5 linked regions of the Canis lupus familiaris genome follow. The protein of the gene in region 1 purifies or fractionates together with the protein of each later gene. This does not show direct contact. Links are inferred from orthologs where the notes say so. Each region holds a gene or a part of one and is shown on either strand. Other genes may lie near its edges.

The links.
Region 2: the proteins of STK24 (region 1) and PPP2R1B purify together in Homo sapiens (affinity purification with mass spectrometry; 3 studies listed by BioGRID and IntAct, with this or other methods). This does not show direct contact. The link is inferred for Canis lupus familiaris from reciprocal best matches to the Homo sapiens genes STK24 and PPP2R1B.
Region 3: the proteins of STK24 (region 1) and FGFR1OP2 purify together in Homo sapiens (affinity purification with mass spectrometry; 4 studies listed by BioGRID and IntAct, with this or other methods). This does not show direct contact. The link is inferred for Canis lupus familiaris from reciprocal best matches to the Homo sapiens genes STK24 and FGFR1OP2.
Region 4: the proteins of STK24 (region 1) and SLMAP purify together in Homo sapiens (affinity purification with mass spectrometry; 6 studies listed by BioGRID and IntAct, with this or other methods). This does not show direct contact. The link is inferred for Canis lupus familiaris from reciprocal best matches to the Homo sapiens genes STK24 and SLMAP.
Region 5: the proteins of STK24 (region 1) and SIKE1 purify together in Homo sapiens (affinity purification with mass spectrometry; 4 studies listed by BioGRID and IntAct, with this or other methods). This does not show direct contact. The link is inferred for Canis lupus familiaris from reciprocal best matches to the Homo sapiens genes STK24 and SIKE1.

The regions. Positions count from the first base shown.
Region 1 is NC_049243.1:48,811,176-48,815,458, reverse strand, and holds the start of STK24 (serine/threonine-protein kinase 24), read left to right. Parts: upstream 1-1,483; 5' UTR 1,484-1,498; coding exon 1,499-1,576; intron 1,577-3,056; coding exon 3,057-3,287; intron 3,288-4,283. UniProt on the Homo sapiens protein: Serine/threonine-protein kinase that acts on both serine and threonine residues and promotes apoptosis in response to stress stimuli and caspase activation.
Region 2 is NC_049226.1:21,360,413-21,363,925, reverse strand, and holds part of PPP2R1B (serine/threonine-protein phosphatase 2A 65 kDa regulatory subunit A beta isoform), read right to left. Parts: intron 1,677-3,513; coding exon 1,444-1,676; intron 1,102-1,443; coding exon 954-1,101; intron 1-953. UniProt on the Homo sapiens protein: The PR65 subunit of protein phosphatase 2A serves as a scaffolding molecule to coordinate the assembly of the catalytic subunit and a variable regulatory B subunit.
Region 3 is NC_049248.1:25,863,846-25,868,115, forward strand, and holds the start of FGFR1OP2 (FGFR1 oncogene partner 2), read left to right. Parts: upstream 1-1,460; 5' UTR 1,461-1,489; coding exon 1,490-1,624; intron 1,625-3,413; coding exon 3,414-3,531; intron 3,532-4,270. UniProt on the Homo sapiens protein: May be involved in wound healing pathway.
Region 4 is NC_049241.1:32,860,704-32,864,216, reverse strand, and holds part of SLMAP (sarcolemmal membrane-associated protein), read left to right. Parts: intron 1-276; coding exon 277-597; intron 598-1,055; coding exon 1,056-1,173; intron 1,174-3,513. UniProt on the Homo sapiens protein: Associates with the striatin-interacting phosphatase and kinase (STRIPAK) core complex, forming the extended (SIKE1:SLMAP)STRIPAK complex.
Region 5 is NC_049238.1:53,000,193-53,004,465, reverse strand, and holds the start of SIKE1 (suppressor of IKBKE 1), read left to right. Parts: upstream 1-1,471; 5' UTR 1,472-1,631; coding exon 1,632-1,790; intron 1,791-2,023; coding exon 2,024-2,129; intron 2,130-3,011; coding exon 3,012-3,154; intron 3,155-4,273.

The sequences.
Region 1 (4,283 bases):
TCAAGGCTGCTTTGCTTCTCTCCCCAGCTCTCCTGAGCTGTGGTTCTCAAAGTGTGGTCTCTGGACCAGTGGCGTCTGCATTACTAGGGTGCTCTCTGATTCTTGGGCCGCACCCCACCTTTACTGAACCAGAAATTCTGAGGGTGGGGTCAGGCAGTCTGTGCTCTAACAAGCCTGCCAGGTGGTTCTGATGCCCCTAAGACTTGAGAGTTACTGTTCCTGCATATTCCAAACGGCCCTTCCTACTGCTTCCTTACACTTGCAAGCTGGAGATGGTACCATCCTCACTCCCCCTTTCCCGGGCTCTCTGTCCCTCTGATATTCTTCGTAATATGTAGTCTGGATGGTGTTTGTGTCAGTGTAAGGTTGGGGCTTTCTTACTGCTCAGGGACACTTATTGGCCATCGGTCATTGTGCTCAGGGACATGGGTATCGAAGTGAGTAAGACACAGTCCCCGAGTTCCCTCAGCTTTTAGTGAGTGAGATTGTGTGCTCTAGGAGAATGGCCAGTTCAGGGAAATGACAGATGCAGTTCATGTAGGTTGAGCTTGAGATGTCCACATAGAAATATATATTTAGCAAGTAATTGATCTTAGGAGTTAAAATTCAAAAAAAAAAAAAATAGAATTCAAAAAGCAGGGCTGGAGTTAGCAATTTGAAAGTTACCATGTACATGATGATTTAAAACCGTTTTTCCTCAAAGGTGGCTATTCATCAGAATCAATTGGAGTCTTTATTTTTAAAGATTTTATTTATTTAGTTAGAGTGAGAGAACACGAGCAGGGGGAGGGAGAAGCAGACTCCCCACTGAGCAAGGAGCCCAATGTGGGGCTCTGTCCCAGGACCCTGAGATCATGACCTGAGCCACCCAAGTGTCCCTATTTGGGGTGTCTAACAATATGGATTATGCACCCCTGCCCCATGTATGACAGAGAGTGATTTGGGATCTCCCACATGTTCCAGGTGATTCTGAGCAGCTAGGTTTGGGGAACACAATCCCAAACAATGAAAACTGTTTGAGGAGAATAAGTAGAGAATGGGTGGGCAGCCAGCATGGAGCCCCCAGGGGCATGCCTGTGATGCAGCCGCCAGGGTGGAGTCTGTGCAGGAAGATCCTCTGGGACTGGGGGGATGGGGAGTAGACAAGTGGGAGAGCAGGGTTTAGATGCCAGGACTGGAAAGTTACCAGAGGGAGGGCTTCTTGGAGGAGGATCAGATTAGGCACTGCAGTGGTGGCCTCAGCTGGAGCCAGACTGTGGCGGTGACCAGCGAGGGGCGGGGCGCCTGGCTGGTCTCGGTGACTTGCAGGGAACTCTCAAGGAAGGAAGGAGAGCGTGAAGGAGAGAGGTGACCAGGGAAGCCCAGTGTTTCTGTTTTTCTCAATGGGAGAAAACTGAGCAGGCTGCCAGGAGTGGTGGGTCTGTAGAGAGGGCTGAATGGAAGAGGCCTCTGGTGTAGGGGGCTGATGCTGCTGAAGCTGTATCCAGGGGACAGAAGGATGGATTCAAAAGCTCAGCGCTCAGGACTGGCCTTGAAGAAGAGGAGGGCCACCCCCCCTCATCCTGGAGGGATGGAGGTGAGGGAAGGGGTTTGGAGATGGGAGTTTCTAGCTGCTGAATGTGGACGTCTCTCTCGTGTCCCTTTTTCCTGGCAACCCCGGGATGCACTCCTTGCTTACTTTGTTCATTTTAAATGATGGGGTTAGTGTAGTCTCAAAAACAGGGCCTCTGGGGTCTGTGAGACCACCCATGACTTAGTGTGTGCGTGTGTTGCTGGGGTGTGCTACTTCCGTGGGGTTCACGCTGCAGCACAGCAGCACCTCCGCGTTGGCAGTGGGCGGGCTGGGTTTCAGCACTTCTCTGGAGGCACTGCTTGGAACTCCATGTGTTTCACCTTGAAAGCAAGTTAATGGCTCGTGCCTGGTTAGCCCCTAGGGCTCACCTAGCTAATGGTGCTGCTGACCTTGCTGTAATTCTCTCTCGATCCCCTCATCACTCCCCCTCCCAGAGACCCCCTCCCCCCACCATGCCTGTTATACTCTCTCCCTTTTCAGCCCTCCTCCTTCCCCATCTTCCTTCCTTCTCCATGTTTCAGTTTCTTAGAAGGACTGGTAGACATGGAGGGTGGGCCTGGCATCCTCTTGTTCATGAGCAGCATTTTTGAGGGGAGGTGTGTGAGGTGGTGGCTCCCAGGGTCCTGTCTTACTCTGTGAGGTTTCAAGTGGTGCCAGCAGTATTTGTGCCGAGCTAGGCAGTGTCCCCAAGTCTTCTTGCCGAATGTCAGTTTCGCCCCTCAGTTTGTGACTGACACCCCCCGGGGATGACAGGCTGCTGCCTGTTGAGAGAACTCAGCTGCTCACACACCTTTCTGGTCTGGGAGCTGTGAGGATGGGTGTTGGAGTCCCTATGTCTGGACCCCTTGGAGATGTACACTGTGTGTATGTGGTTCACCTAATTAGCTAGTGATTGAGAGCTTTCAGAAGCTTTTCCAAGGGCATGATGTTTACAAGACAAAAGAAAACGGGTTCTTATTGTTTCCCAGGATTGGGTTAAAATGTTGAGGGCAAGGTAGTAGCCAAAGGTGAAGATGCATAGGACTGCATTTGCTGGACTTTAAACATGGCCTGTTACGAAATGATTGAGTACTAGTTAACTAGTTACAGTATATGCCTACCTAAACTTAGAAAATTTGTCGGGGAGGGGGAACAAAGGGAGAGAGTGGAATATTTGCGTAACAAGAGTGTTTTTCAATAAATTCATATATCCTAACACTTTGTCTTGGTTTTTACTTAATTATGCAAATACTGGAGCCTTTCCCAGTTTTTATAATCAGGGTTATTGTCCTTGCTTGCATACTTGCTGTGTTTCATAGAGGTGAGGCTTAGAAATCCCTGTGTCCTAAGTGTGAGGAGCTGTGGTCACAACCAGCCTGACCCTCAGATGAAGAAAATGGATCGGTTCTTGGAAGACTGTGTTCTGTGTATTTTTAAGTATGCGGGAAAATCTGTCCCTGTCTTGTGAGTTACTGAGGTCTCTTCTTTTCCTTTTCTCCTACAGAACCTGAAAGCAGATCCAGAAGAGCTTTTTACAAAACTGGAGAAAATTGGAAAGGGCTCATTTGGTGAAGTGTTCAAGGGCATTGACCTTCGGACTCAGAAAGTGGTTGCCATAAAAATCATTGACCTGGAAGAAGCTGAAGATGAGATAGAGGACATTCAGCAAGAAATCACAGTGCTGAGTCAGTGTGACAGTCCCTACGTAACCAAATATTATGGCTCCTATCTGAAGGTAAGGCTTGATAGTAAGAATGTGGTTTTCCATGGTGTAGTACTTGACCGAGTCAGAGCAGGGCGTGGAGAGGATGTCAGTAGCACAGCAGGCTGTCGGAGGAGGGAGAAATGTTCCTTTGATTCCAAAGGCACCTGGCTCTGATAGTCTTATCTTCAATGTCACCTATAGAAATATCTTTTGGTTAAAATGTTTGTTGAAGTTCCTTTCCAAGAAAAAAGCACGTCTGATTGGAACTTGGTCATCAGAGACACATTTCTTATGAAGGTATTACAACAACAACTGTGGACTTACCTAACCTTAGCATGGTTTTTTGTAAAACCTTGTGCCGACCTGAGAATCTTAGCCTTTTGATATTTTCAGTTATCAAATGTAGTTTAATTTAATGTTAAAAAAAACCCTGCTGGAACTGATAATGGTGCTTAGTGAACTAGTTTATCTACATTTGACTTTGAAGAATTCTAGGTAAGTAAACAGTGACTCAACACCACAAATTGTCCTGGATTTCATCTGATTCTGTGAGTAGGATAAAAGAGCACAGCAAATGGTTTTCCAGTCCATAATGGGACCATTTTAGATGCTGTAGGGCACTCTAGTCACACCACTAAGAGAGCGGAAGTCTGTCCCTTGTGTTCATGTCCTTTGACATATGCCTGTTTTACTGACCTTAGCAATATAGTATCTTCCAAGGTGGTGTTTTGGAAATGTTAAAAATCAGTGGACAAAAATTCTAAAATGACTCTTGTGGAAACGAAAACTTCATAGGTAGAAAGTATTGCTTCCTGAGAGAGGCAGTAGTAAGCCTAGAGAACAGACGATGTGGCTTCTCCTATCTGGGGTTTATCCTCTAAATTCTTCTGTTGTAGCTTGCACTCTCTTCTGTCATCAGAAGGGACAGTGCAGGCTTTGATTTTGTGGAAATATGATAATATGTAAGCGGAAGGATGGACATTTTGAGAGCCATCGATTCACTTAAAATGAATATTTAAAGAAATA
Region 2 (3,513 bases), on another chromosome or scaffold:
AAGACTCTAAAAGGATTCTTCTAGAGTCCAGAAACTCTGGGGGCTGATTCCTCTGAACCACAAAGGGAAACAGTACAGCCTGGCTGTGAAGACTGTAAACTCTGGAACCAACTGTACAACTGTGTCTGCTAACTATGCAACCCTGAAAAGTTACTTTAATTTTCTGTGTTCGTTTCCTACTATATCACACAGGGTTTCTACCTCATGAGGGTATTGTGAAGACCAAAGCACTTCTTACATGTAAACCTCTTAAAACAGGCTGAGAAAAATTACATACTTAATGTAGGTGCTCCTTAATTGTTCTTATTTCTACTCCCAAAAAGATACAGACCCTTGGATTTAAAATTGCTATTATGCAAAGTCAGCCTATATACTCATCCAGAGGATAGAGAGGGTCAAACAGCCTTCTTAACAGACACTATACTTGAAAGTCAAAAATTCCAGGCAACTCCTCCTCCCATGACTGGCTGCTATGAGCAAAAAAGGTATGTTACCCCTTAACGTAGATTTGGTTTTCCCTTCTAATGTGGCTCCCATTTCCTTTTTTCTTTTAAAAAAGAATTTATTTGACAGAGAGAAAGAGAACACAAGCGCACAAGCAGGGGGAAGGGCAGAGAGAGAGGGAGAAGCAGGCTCCACGCTGAGCAGGAACCCTGTGATCATGATCTGAGCTGAAGGCAGATGCTTAACCGACTGAGCCACCCAGGCACCCTCCCATGTCTTCTTTGACTCTTCTTTTAACCGCTGCTAATATAACAGAAAATCATGGTCTGGTTAAGAAAGAAATATAAGGACACTGAGATGGGTCATATTAAACTTTATCTAGCCCAGAATTAAGCATCAATTTGGCAAAAAGGATCTTAACAAGAGAATCAACACTCCCCAAAGAAATCCTTAAAATGTCAGAAGAGAGGACTATATCGATGTACTTTAAATAGTAAAGGCTAACTTACCTGTTCATCTGAAGCTAGATTTGTGAACAGTGGAACAATTTCACTTTTCACACTGTCTAATTCCAAAACTTTTGCAAATTCGCCCAGTTTGGAAGCGGCAGCACGTCGTACCATTGGAGTGTCATCTGAGCACAAGGAACGGAAGTGCCTGGGGCAAACAAAATAATGAAGGTATTTCCTCTCAAATACCATGGATTAAACACCCCCCAACACGCACACACACACACATACCTAAATACACACACACACACACACACACACACAGGGCCATTTTAGAGGTTTTCTCTTACAAACATCAGTGCTTAGGCTTTGACTCACAGAAGTAACAAGTATAAACAAAACCACTAGTATATTCAACTTAATGATAAAAAGTCATGTTACCACATCTGCTATCCTATCAGCCACTCACTGGTAACAGGGTATTATTGTGTAAATTGTCAGCTATGAGTTCCCAGTAATCCCAAATAACAGAGAAAACATCATATCTTACTGTCTAATCTCTGCCTTGACAGCATTTGAAGCCCTGGGATAGCAAACGCTGAACAAACCACATGCAGATGTGCGAGAAGTGAACCAATCACCACTCGCCAGGCGTTTCACCAGAGGTACAAAATGTGCTTCCAAAGCAACAGGAGTATGCTCCTGGGAGATCTGCCTCAGGGACTCCACAGCTTTGTCTCGAACCACAGTCTCTTCCACAGTTGCCAAACTTTCCAAAGGAGGCTGAATAGATCAAAAAGGAAAATCAGAGAAGAAAACTTACTGAATCAGGTTAGCTACACATTATCACCTTTTAAAGTGACTGAAGGGAGGTGGTACATGTAACCAGAATGTTAGCTACATCACACCAAATGGTTACTTTCAGTTCACACAGTGATAACATATGGTGCGTCCAACCTGAAGACACGACTTCTGTAGGACAGCCAAGATCTCATGTCCCAGATGGCAATTCCCAGATGGTGTCTACAAATGACACAGTAGAGACTTGACACAATATTAATATTACCACGAGCTGAATGACTAGGTTTAAAAGATATGTAGCCAAATTCAGATAAGATCATGTTTATTTCCTCAAGAGTGAGTGCAGAAACATGAGCAACACTGAGCACCACAATTACATGATGACATCCCAGCAGGCCACTGACCTACAGTCTCTGGAGTATTATTTGACCATTCCTGGAAATGCAGGCAACCCTTGTGCACTAGAGCCACACCATCAACTTATCTAACATATGAAAGAATACATACAGAATCTTGTGAGGAAGATACAAAGCAGGAGTTGGAGAACAATGGAGAGTATAGACCTGGTAGGAACCCTTGTCTACAGCTGCAGAGACCAGGAGGGTCGGTCTGGACTAGGATGAGTAAGTGAATATGACACAGCCCCATGAAAAGAGCAAGAGGGCTGGTCCTCTGAACCTCGACCTGGGTTTGCATCTGAGCTAGGTATATTCAGCATATGCCATGAGCTGCAAATATTCAACACAAAATCCACATACAGAACTGACCAAGAGATGAAACAGAATTATGAATCAAAGGAAAGTGTGTCTACCTAATAATACATTTCAAAAATCATTTGATACACAGAAGTAGAAAGTACTGAGCTTTCCTAAAAGGTATTTCACAAGCCATTTGAGAAGATACTGTGTTCTTACTCACTTGTGACTGCCTCACGATCTACCATTGCCTTCCCCAAGCTCCTCTCGTATAGCATCACTGGATAGTCTCTGTCACCACTATACAGTAAGGCCAACCTCCTGACAATCAACGAGGAGTTTTCTCTGAATCTGAACTCTGCCTGTTTCTCCCGGCTCTCTCCCTGTGGCCTCCCCTACCATCCTTCATATGCCAGCTCAACATCCAGCAAGGCAACCTGTTTCACACTTTGAAACCCCTGAATCAATGAATAATTACTGCTATACTGTAGCACTGAGGACAGAGAAAAAACAAGGCAGACAGGATCCTTGCTCTAGGGGGCTCTACAGTCTAGTGGAGGAAGATAACCGATCAAGAAAACAATCATATGGTGAGGAGTATTCTGTGAAGAAATAGAATAGGATGATGTGGTAAGGGGATGACTGGGAGGCAATTTCAGGTTAGGCATTCACGGAAGGCCTCTCTGAGAAGATGCACTGAAGTTGGTTCTGAATGACAAGGAACTAGCCACCAGAAGCTCAAAGAACAGCAGAAGGAATACCTAGGCCAATAATAAGGCAATAATAAGCTTGGTTTCTTCAAAGAACAAAAACACCACCACTATAAATAGAATGAAGTTCTCAAGAGGAACATGACATGAGATAAATTCACAGAGATAGTTTGTCCCTTAATTTACAGAACCTAAGGCAGGAATTTGGATTTTCAAAGAGCTGAGACGGGAAGTATCCACTTGCTGGGTGAAGAGCGAACCAGAAGGATTGGGTAGAAGGCAACTGTCAAGATGTTACTGGAGTAATCTAGAGGAAAGATTTTGAGATCTGGGGAGAGGAAAGGAAAGAAGAGCTAGGTAATAGTGGGAAGAAGGAAAGTGAACTGATTTGGAATATGTACAGAAGCCATAGGA
Region 3 (4,270 bases), on another chromosome or scaffold:
CCTAAAGTTGATGAAATTCTTAATTATAGCCCTTAGCTTGGATCCATACCAGAGTTTTAATTTAACTTCTATAGACCTGGCTTCTGGCCTAGTAAATTTACAGTGTGATTTTACTTTTAGAGAAAACCCTGAAGAAAGGATGGCTCATATAGAAGGTAAGGTAAAACTTACCTTACAACGAGAAAAATCCAAAGATTAAGTTTCAGAAGATTGAAGTCTTTGAAAGAGATTATTTTAAAATTAAGATTTTGTTTTGAGGTCTCAGTACTAAATGAAGAAGCTAACTGTTGAGTGTTTCGTATTTTTCTGCTAATTTTTTTAGCTCTTCTTAAACACATTATTTATTGATTTTTAACATATCAAAAATTTCCCGTATGGCTGGTGTTCTAAGTCATATATTTTTTTAACCACTTAATAAGGAAAGCACAAGACTTAGGATTATAATACTTCATATATGAAGTATTTCCTCCAGCGATGCCTGGGTGGCTCAGCAGTTGAGCAAGCCTGCCTTTGGCTCAGGGCATGATCCTGGAGTCCCATGTGGGCGGGCTCCCTGCATGGAGCCTGCTTCTCCCTCTGCCTGTGTCTCTGCCTCTCTCTCCGTGTCTCTCATGAATAAATAAATAAAATATTTATTTATTTATTTTTACTTTTTGGTAAAAGTCTTTAAAAAAAAAAAAAAAAGTATTTCCTTCAGTCAGGATGCCTGACTGGCTCAGTCAGTTAAACATCTGCCTTCTGCTCAGGTCATGACTCCTGGATCCTGGGATGGAATTCCTGTATGGGTTTCCCTGCTCAGCAGGGAGTCTGTTTCTCCCTCTGCCCCTCCCCGCTGCTTATGTTCTTACGCATGTGTGTTTTCTCCCTCTTTCTCTTTTTCAAATAAGTGAAATCTTAAAAACATTTTTTTTTAAAAAGTAGTTCCTTCAAAAGAAGGACACTCTGAAGGACACTCTGACATAGTATGACACATAGAGACGACTTTAGCTGGTCAATAAGTGTGAGTTGTGAAATGGTTGGTGTCTCAGGTCACTTAACCAAGCAAAGGCTAGAAAGGATCTCATAGCTAGTGACTGACAATCATGGACCACAGAGTATGGACTAATAAAGTGATCTTTTTCACAAATATCAGGAGAAGGGAATGATCTCATGAAGAACACAATTTCTGTGTAATATAAAATGTATTTACTTGATTTGTACTTTTTTCCCCACTATAAATTCAGAGTGTTTTAAATACACGCAGATTACGTCTGCAAATCATTTATATATGCTCTAATTTTTTAATATTATAAATTTACTTTTAAGCTTGTGCCCTCCGAACAGAAGCAAAACCACAAGTGTTCTTACATGTTTTCTCTCCCCAGTGAACAATCCTGTAATAAATGTAACTTACGAAGCATATCGATGTTAACATGAAACTAAAATAATAAGATGATAAGCTGGCTTTGTTTAGAGTCTTGATTTTAATTTTATAGGTATTCCTTTAGAAATGAGTTGCACAATTGAGAAGGCACTTGCTGATGCTAAAGCTCTTGTTGAAAGATTGAGAGATCATGACGATGCAGCAGAATCTCTGATTGAGCAAACCACAGCTCTCAATAAGCGAGTAGAAGCGATGAAGCAGGTTTGATTTCTTTTCTTTCTTGTGGATTCCACTTTGAAAAAAGCAGTCAGATATTTATGTATTGCTTGAATCATAAATTTCTGCTTAATACCGTTTTTTTAATGTTTTATAAAATTTAAAAGTAACTTGATTTGTATATTTTAATTTTATTTTAGATTATCATATAATTTTGTCATGTCCAGGTGATACAGATATATATATGTATATTCTAAAAACCATATATTTGATTATTTGTTTTTCTGGCAGAGTTGCACATTGGAGTTTAGAAAATATATTAGGTTCTGATATATTAGAGACCAATAATATCTTTCACTAATAGTGATATATTTTGCTCTCTTATTTTTATAATGTAGAAATGTTTATATTTTTCTTTGTAAAAGTACTTAGGTGATGTTATTTAACAACAGAATTTTCAAAAATGGCATAAGGCAATATCTGGTTTATATATTATGCAGTTGTTGAATTTGTACTTCCTACCTTAATTTCCATTTAGTGCTACCAATTAAAGAAAAATTGAAAAGGGTTTCAGTTATTATCCTTATAATGTACATAGGAAGTTTCTTATATAAGAATTGTATATAAGAATTTTCCAGTGGTCCACGGGGTTAAGGTACCATTTTAAGCCTACTTATGATAAAAATTTTCAACTTTAAGATAATTATACAGTCTCTCCTTATGATGGAAATCATTTAGGGGGAAATGTATATTCATAGCCTACTCTTGTGAAACTCATCCATTTTGTAAAAGGAAGCAACCCTGGAATACCACTTTTAACAAAGCTATTGGAAATAATAGAGCAAATTTACTTGTTTTGTTGCCTTAAACAGATTACATATCTCCCTAACTGTCCAGCTTGACTCATGCATTCCAAGGAACTAATATCTGGTACTGAGTCATAAAAACAAAGGAGTTTGACAACTAAAGAACCAGAAATGTTATAATGAATACATTACTAAGCAGCACATCAAAATGCCTTGAAAATGAAGGAGTACAATTTTAAAGTTAGATTCACATTTATTTCTAGGTTTTTTATTTCTTTTTTACATGTTCTTTTGCTATTGTTATTGAGATATAATTCACAATACCCATATAGTTTACCCTCCTAAAGGGCATAGTTCATTGGATTTTAGTACATTCATAGGTTGCGCAACCACAATCACTATCTAATTCCAGAACATTCTCCTCACCCCAAAAGCTTACCTCCATTAGCAAGCTAGGTATTCCCTAGCTCTCCCTTCCCTCAGCCCCTGGCAACTAATCTTTCTATCTCTATAGATTTGTCTCTTTGGGATATTTCATGTGAATGGAATCATACAATATGTGGCTTTTTGTAACTTTTTTAAATGTAATGTTCTTGAGGTTCATCCATATTATAGCATGTTTTAAGTTTTTTATTCCTTTTTATTGCTGAATAATATTCCATCATAAGGATATAGTGCATTGTGTCTATCCATTCATCAGTTGATGGGACATTTGGATTATTTCTATTTGGGGGCTGTTATGAATAATACTGCTGTGAATATTTGTGTACAAATTTCTGTGTAGACCTATATTTTCAGTTATCTTGGGTATATACGTGGGGGTAGAATTATAGTCATCCTGCTATACATTAGATTCTCCAGAACTTACTCATCGTTTGCCCATTTTTAATACATCATCATTAAATTATTATTATTATTGAGAGTTGTTAAGAATTCTTTATATATTCTGGATTAGGCCCTTATATATATTGAGATATGTATTTTCAAATATTTTCTCCCAACATGTTCTTTTTTGATCTTTTCATTAGTATCAGGAGGAAATTCAAGAACTTAATGAAGTTGCAAGGCATCGGCCACGGTCCACATTAGTTATGGGAATCCAGCAAGAAAACAGACAAATCAGAGAACTGCAACAAGAGAACAAAGGTGGGGTCCTGAGGTGGCTCAGTGGGCTAAGCAGCTGCCTTTGGCTTAGGTCTCAGGATCCTGGGATGGAGCCCCACATTGGGCTCTCTGCTCATTGGGGAGCCTGCTTCTCCCTCTCCCTCTGCCTGCCACTCCCCTTCTCTCTCTCTCTCTTTAATAAATAAATAAAATCTTTATAAAATAAAAGAGAATGAAGGTAAGATATATAATTTTAAGATTATTAAGAACGTATGATTGTAAAAAACAAAGGAGTTTGACAAATAAAGCTAAAAACCAGTAATGTTATAATGAATTATGTTACTAAGTCACTCAGCAAAATGCCTTGAGAATAAAAGTGTAGGCTTTAAAGTTAGATTCACATTTATTTAAAAAATTTTTTCATTTCTTTTGCACATACTCTTTTATTACTATTGAGATATAATTCACATACCATAAAATATACTCTTTGGGAAGGCATAGTTCATTGGATTTTAGTTAAAATTAAACTTGGTTGACCATTTGCTTCAACGTGAATAGAACTGGAGGCTATTATGCTGAGTGAAGTAAGTCAATCAGAGAAGGACAAACATTATATGGTCTCATTCATTTGGGGAATATAAAAATAGTGAAAGGGAATAAAGGGGAAAGGAGAGAAAATGAGTGGGAAATATCAGAGAGGGAGACAGAACATGAGAGACTTCTAACTCTGAGAAACAAAGGGTAGTGGAAGGGGAGGTAGGCAGGGGGAAGGGGTGACTGG
Region 4 (3,513 bases), on another chromosome or scaffold:
AAATCTTTTAAAAAAATCTAGAAGAATAAATACCAAATGCTAGAAGCAACTTTCACTGTGTGGGAGAAATAAAAAGATCACTTTGGTTTTTTACTCTTTGTATTTCGGTATTTTGACATTTTCTGCATTAAACTTGGATTGCTTGGACTGCTTAATCAAAAGCAACAAACAGCTCTGACAGCATGGGCTGTGTAGTAACTATAATCCCATTTGGGCAGTTCATTTATTTGTAATCGCTTTGGACAAAGAAAATGATGGATAAATATACTTTTGCAGCCCAACTACAGAGGTTACACATCAATATTGAGAATCTCCGGGAGGAGAAGGACAGTGAAATTACAAGCACTCGAGATGAACTGCTTAGTGCCCGAGATGAAATTTTGCTCCTTCATCAAGCAGCAGAAAAGGCTGCCTCTGAGCGGGACACTGACATTGCCTCATTACAAGAAGAGCTTAAGAAGGTGCGAGGTGAGCTTGAGCGGTGGCGGAAAGCAGCATCTGAATATGAGAAAGAAATCACGAGTCTGCAGAATAGTTTTCAGCTTCGATGTCAGCAGTGTGAGGACCAGCAGAGAGAGGAAGCAACAAGGCTACAAAGTGAGTGCACATATTTTACATAAAGCTCTTAACTCTTGACAGTGATTACTTACAGTTATAAAACTTGCACAAAATAATCATTTGGGCTTTTTTCTCTTTGATAACAATTTAGTTGTATAAAGCAATGTTTTTATATTGGGGCTATAAACATTCTTCAGGTTTGCAAATTCTACAATAAACTGAAATATTTATAATTTTATATTTTACTTTAATACTACTGAAATTATTTGTCTTATAAAAGTGAAATGGGAAGAAAATATTACTTCAAATTCAAGGTGATGAGATTCACCTGAGGTATAGATGCAAAATAAACAGGAACCAAAGAATAGCCATGTAAAATCTACATGTTCTTAAGGGAGGGGGCAAGTACGTTTTTCTCCGAAATATTTCCCTTATCCCCTAAATTATTATGGAAATTTTGTTCCTATATTAATGAATATGTTTTGGGACTATTTTAGGTGAACTAGAGAAGTTGAGAAAGGAATGGAATGTATTGGAAACCGAATGCCATTCTCTAAAAAAGGAAAATGTTTTGTTATCATCAGAACTGCAGCGGCAAGAAAAAGAATTGCACAAGTATGCAAGAACTCTTTTAGCTTCAGAATATTTCTTTATCTTAAATTTTCATCTAAATTAAATTTAAATTTGATACTTAAATACCCTTTTGGAGCAAAATGTTCAGCTAGACTCTTTTTGGCTATTTTAACAGGTTAAGCATGCTAACAATACTGCAGGTTGTGTGTTTTGGGGAACTTTTTTTGTTTTTTAACTTTCACTGTCATCCTACATTTCCTTTCCTTTTGATGTACTCAAGGAATACACATTCGTGGACTACAGCCCCCCACCCCCACCAAAGCCCTAAACAAAAAACAGCAAATATCTATACTTCATGATTGAATTAGTCCTATAAACTAAATGGTAAAAACTTCAAATATAAGTTGTTTTTCTTTCAAGCCAGTGATTCCTTCTGTTTGTAAGGGAATCAGGAGATGACTATAATAAAGAATTTATACCATTGGAAGATACAAATTCAGCTTTTGAATTTCACAGATATATATAAAATCAAGAACTCTCCAAAACTAGTTATGTTTTTCTAATATCCAGTACCTTATAAGCAAACCAAGGAATGCAAAAATTTATTCCAGCAAATTTAGTGGAGTCCTGTTTTCCCACCAACGTTTGTTGTATAGTTTAAAATCTATTTTTTTCCTTAAAAATGTGATCCATTCCATATTTTTATTTAAACACTATTTATGTTCTGATTCAGAATATGAAAGTTATACATGTTTATTATTGAAGCCACTCTTAATTAATCCACCTCCTTCCTCACAGTACACCAGAAATGGGGGTCTTTACTCTTGTTAGCTTGTGTTTATACTCCTAAAGAACCTCAGGGTTAGCAGAAACTCAGTGATCAAGGTCAGTTCCTATAAAAACAAGCTTTAGGAGAAAACAAAGGACTAGATACATCAGAAAATAGTAAGCCTCATTATCTGCTTATAAAGAATAACAGTTGTAATAGATTATACATTTTTAACAATCAAGAACTAGTTGAAGGAACAAGATGTGGTGATTTGTTCTTTAAGATGCCTTTTTACAATACCATGTTTTACAATACCATGTGTTACAAATCTATAAAACCCTTTTCTCTTTCAGTGTCCTGTCTTTCCAGTCTCTTCATACATTCATATGTATTACTTTTTAAATGTTTAGAGGTAACTGATAACAAAGAGTAAACGTATTATAACATGTAAAATTTTATAAAAACAATTCTAAAAACTGAATAGGATAAAATTAAGGTCCAAACACGAATATTTACACATATGAATGTATATATATATGTACCAACGGGATTGTCTGTATTGGCAGCACATTTGGACAAAATGTTTGGTTTAAAATGAGTATTACATGATGCAGACACTCAAATTTTTCTTATTTGGAATCTTAGCTAATCCATTTAGTTTGGTATTCTATCAAGCAAGAAATAGTGATCTTTGATTACTAGTATTGATTATCTTAAATTATTCCTGCCTTGGGATTATTGACATTTTAAAGATATAAACTTGATCCTTCTTTTCTGAGATATAATTTTTTTAAGATTTATTTATTTATTTATTCATTCATTCATTCAGAGAGAGAGAGAGAAAGAGGCAGAGACACAGGCAGAGGGAGAAGCAGGCTCCCTGCAGGAAGCCCAACGTGGGACTCGATCCCGAGTCTCCAGGATCACACCCCGGGCTGCAGGTGGCGCTAAACTGCTGCGCCACCGGGGCTGCCCTCTGAGATATAATTAATTAGAATCTGGCAGGTTGTTAAATGCTGGTTGTTTTTTTTTTTTTTAATTACTTCAGACTTGTTCAAATGTTGAAAAGCAGAAAACTCCTGATGAGTTAGAAGCATACAGTTTAAAAATATTAGGTCCCAGAAGGTGGAATATATTATATCATTAGTCAAAGTTGTCTGCTGAAACTCACATAAATTTTTTATGTTTCCTAAACTTTTTTTGGTCTAGTGGCTAACTTTATTTGGCAAGCCTTTTTAGCATATAAGTAGTATTTAGAAGTTAGTCTTCCTTTACAGAGTCTTCTGTGCCATTTAGTTCCTAGCTATATTGGGCTGATGCCACACTCATCCCTTAAGAATTTGCCTGGCGTACAGTCAGATTGGGATTTATACTCCATAGTTCCTTCATTAACAATATTGAGTCTAAGTCTTATGATCCATTCTGAGAAGCATAAAACTGTAATCTTGAAAACTTTATTCTCCTTTAGCTATTTCTGTTGTAGATGGGAGCCACATTCTTTCAAACAGTTACACTATGATAGGTCTTTTTTTTTTATTGTTTGTGATGTAGAAGAAATTGAACAAAGAATTTTTACTAATGCCTATCAAGCTGTTTTCCTAGTGTACAAATTG
Region 5 (4,273 bases), on another chromosome or scaffold:
CTGATCTCCATCTTGAGAAACAGTTATTGAATGTCTCCATTGTGCCAGCTATTGGGAATACAAAAGTAAAATGCACTGTTCTTTTCCTGCTGCTTCTCTAAACTCTCACTACTGCTCTGAGGCTCTTGCCCCCTAATCTGTCATTACCTTCAATTATTTGAGTATGAACTCTTTCTCCCATTAGAATATTAATTCCTTAAGTGCAGATACCCTGTGTCATTGTCTGCCATGTTCTAGACACTAAACAGTGCCTGTAACAAAGCAGACCCTCCAAAAATACTTATTAAAGTAAGAATGAAAAAGGATGAAGTTTGATATACAAGCTTGACAAAGTAAACTCTTATAAACCAATATAACAAATAGTACAAAGGTCATTGCCTTTTTGGTTAATTTATTTTTTTAATATTTTATTTATTTATTCATGAGAGACACAGAGGCAGAGACCCGGGCAGAGGGGCAGGTTCCCTGCAGGGAGCCCAATGTCGGACTCCATTCCAGGACCCTGTGATCACGCCCTGAGTCAAAGGCAGACGCTCAACCACTGAGCCACCCAGGTGCCCCCTGGTTAATTTACTTTTAAGTTATTAATTGAATTAAGAGAGAAAAAATAGGCAAGTAGAAAATAATGACTATCTCACACCCATTAAGATGATCATCATTAACAACAACAGAAAACACCAGGTGTGGGCAAGGACTTGGAGAAATTAGAACCCTTGCGCACTGCTGCTAAAAAATGTAAAATGGTGCAGCCACTGTGGAAAACAGGATGATCTTTTCTCAAAAAATCCAAGGTAGATTTACCATATGACCCAGCAATTCCACTTTTGGGTACATAGCCAAAAGAACTGAAAGCTGGGATTCCTTCAGTGGATGGATAAACAAAACATACCATAGACATACAATGGGGTATAATTAATATTTTATATCCCATATAATGGGATATAATTCAGTCTTAAACAGGAAGGAAATTCTGATGTGCACGGACAGAACTCGAGGACACGTTCTGTGAAATAAGCTAGTCACAAAACAACAAATATGATTGACAGTGGCACCACTCACTGTATATAAGGTATCCGAAATAGTGAAATTCCTAAAGGCAGAAAGCAGAAGAGTGGCTGCCAGTGGCTGGGAGGAATAAGTAGTTAATATTTAACGGGTTAAGAGTTTCCATTTGGCAAGGTGAAGAGAGTTCTGGAAATGGATGTGGGGACGATTGCGTAACAGAGAAAGCCCCTTAATACTACCGGAGTGTACGTGTCAAAATGGTTAAGATGGTGCATTTTATTGTATTTTACCGTAGTTTTTAAAATTAATTTTAAAAAGAGACTAAGCACCAAAAAAAGATTTTAAAATCCGGTGACTGAAAAACAATCCCCATCAATCAAAACCCACAGGGAAGGAAGAAACCCGGGTCGCCCAGCCACACGCCACCTCGATCACCGCGGGAGCCGGAAGCCGAGGGCGGGGCCGGCCGGGCTGCCGGAAGCCGCTGGTTCAAGTAGGGCCACCCGCGGACTAGGCCCCACTGCGCAGGCGCATAGGGCGGCCGGAAGTGACGTCGATAACGCTGAGCCAGGTTCAGGGAAGAGTAGTGTAGGTGAGCAGGACGGGAGCAAGGATCCGGGGCCACTATGAGCTGCACCATCGAGAAGATCCTGACAGACGCCAAGACGCTGCTCGAGCGGCTACGGGAACACGACGCGGCCGCAGAGTCGCTCGTGGATCAGTCCGCCGCGCTGCACCGGCGGGTGGCCGCTATGCGGGAGGCGGGGACGGCGCTTCCGGACCAGGTCGGGCAGAGAGTAGGGGTCGGTGCCCGCAGGATCTGTGCACCCGAGGGGTGGAGGGCAAAGGAAAGCGGGAACTCGGCCTTAAACGTATGCCTGGTTTCAGAGGGTGGCGGTGAGACTTTCCTTCGGGGTCGGGGCTGAGCGTGCTGCCCTGGAGCTCCGACTCCTTCTTCAGTTGCATCCGCGGCTGTTCTCCTGTTAACGGCGCGCTTAGTCTGTCTCTGTTTGTCCAGTATCAAGAAGATGCATCCGATATAAAGGACATGTCCAAATTCAAACCTCACATTCTGCTGTCCCAAGAGAATACACAGATTAGAGACTTGCAGCAGGAAAACAGAGGTTAGTCAGGACTTTTTGTGTAGTTATGATTTTCTAACATCCAGTTATATTTCAAAAGTTCTTGCCAAACGAACTATTCACATCCTATATGTATCTCCAGATCAGTACTTTTAAAAGCGTTATCCTGCGATGGCCCAGTAACGATAAAGTTTGTTACTTTAAGGTCATCTGACTGACTTTGCATATATAGGCAAGCTTATCAAAGGGGAGCTTAGTGGAGTTGAATTGTTGCATGGTTTACTTTTTTATCCCCATATGGATACTTGCATAACAAGGTGTTAATATCCTCAAGGGCTTGGATTTTTTTATGTTCAAATATTAATTGAAATAAGCACTGACGCTAAGATTGAAGAGGGTTTTTTTTTTTTTTTTAATGTTCTTGTGCAGGGTGGAAGAACTGAATTTTAGCCTCGGGGTATATATTCTCAGGCTTGATGTGTACATTATTAATAATAGCGGTATGAAGTTATTTGTATAGTAGTTTACAGTGCGCTTTCATTTATATTATCCCATTGTATTATCATATCTTCATTTTGAGGTAGATAAGCTGGTACTTAATATTACAGTGCAGTTAAGAAATAGGCTCAGAGAGGGTAATAATTTGCATAAGTGTAGTAGTAAGCTAGTAACTCACAGAACTGAACTGAAACCCTTGTCTCCTGATTCTACATCTCATGTTGTTTATACCAGATGAAGCTGCCTCTGCCTAGAAAGTTATTTTTCACATAGACCTAACTGTTGAGTTTTGTGGACTTAAACACTGATTTATAATTTTGTATTCATGGTATTTCATGGCGTGTCATAAAATTCTGTTAAAAGAGTTTTGGCTTTGGGAGCTATCTCTCAGACATCACTGCCAAGTGATTTTATTTTTTTTGGTAGAGCTATGGGTTTCCTTGGAGGAACACCAGGATGCTTTGGAACTCATCATGAGCAAGTACCGGAAACAGATGTTACAATTAATGGTTGCCAAAAAGGCTGTGGATGCTGAGCCTGTCCTGAAAGCTCACCAGTCTCACTCTGCAGTAAGAAACTTTAGTGAATAAATTCTGAATGAATGAGATTGAAATCTCTAATTATTTTAAATTGTTCACTTGTTTTTGAAGAAAACTAAGCTTGTCTTTCATATTTCTCACATTTGCTGTTGATTTTGCTGTATCTTGTAAGGATATGATTAGAAAGCAGGGGGTAAGGGGCTGCTCAGGAGCTTTTTTTCTTTGAGTGGGACTAAGGTAGGTTCCTCACCCCACCTGCCCCAAGATGTCTTTGCAAGATTAATGGATGCCTAGTTTTTCCACCAAACATAATGCAAGGTAGTGCTGAAGGTACTCAGTAAATACTTGGTTGGTTATTATTGTACTTTCACTAAACTATAAGCTCCTTGATTATAGGGAGCATGGATTCTTCTTTTATACCTAACACAGTACCTGGCATGTAGCAGACAGAAACCTTTATTAAACTGAATTACGTAGCATCATATTATGTTAGAAGTATGGTTTTAAAAAAAATACATGGCATAGTTTCTACACTTTGATTGCTTATGCTTTAATTTGGGAGACCCAGTTATTGTGCTTATGTTTCTAGAGTGCTTCATGGGTGGCATTGTACATTTACATGTACTATATCATTTAAACCTGGATTAATGAATTGGCACCTCACTATTTGTTCCATGGAATTTATGAAACATAAACTTCATCTTAGAATCCTTTGAAAGCATTTTGCTGACTTAACAAAAGTCTTAGGGAACAGGAATACTTTCAATATGTGAACAGCTCTCAAACATTTCTCATCTGGAAGAGAAAAACTATTTTTCTGTAATCTGGAGGAAAAAACTTTAAGATTAAAAGAGACAGTTTAGCTCATGTGAAAAACTTGGGAAGAGATATATCCAAAAAAAGAATAAAGTACCTTGGAAGCTTTGGTAAGCTGTGGTAAGCTTCCTGACAATAAAAGTATTCAATTTAAGTTAAACAGCCACATAGAGATATTGTCCATTGTCCAGTGGGTGGTTAGACTAGAATCAATCTTGAAAACAAATTGTAAATACTACAAGATAACTTTATTATAGCTTTGCCTCTAAGGACTCGGATTACAGTGAAATGCCTGTGTAATTTCTGTAGCATAGATTAAATGAACTTTCTAAC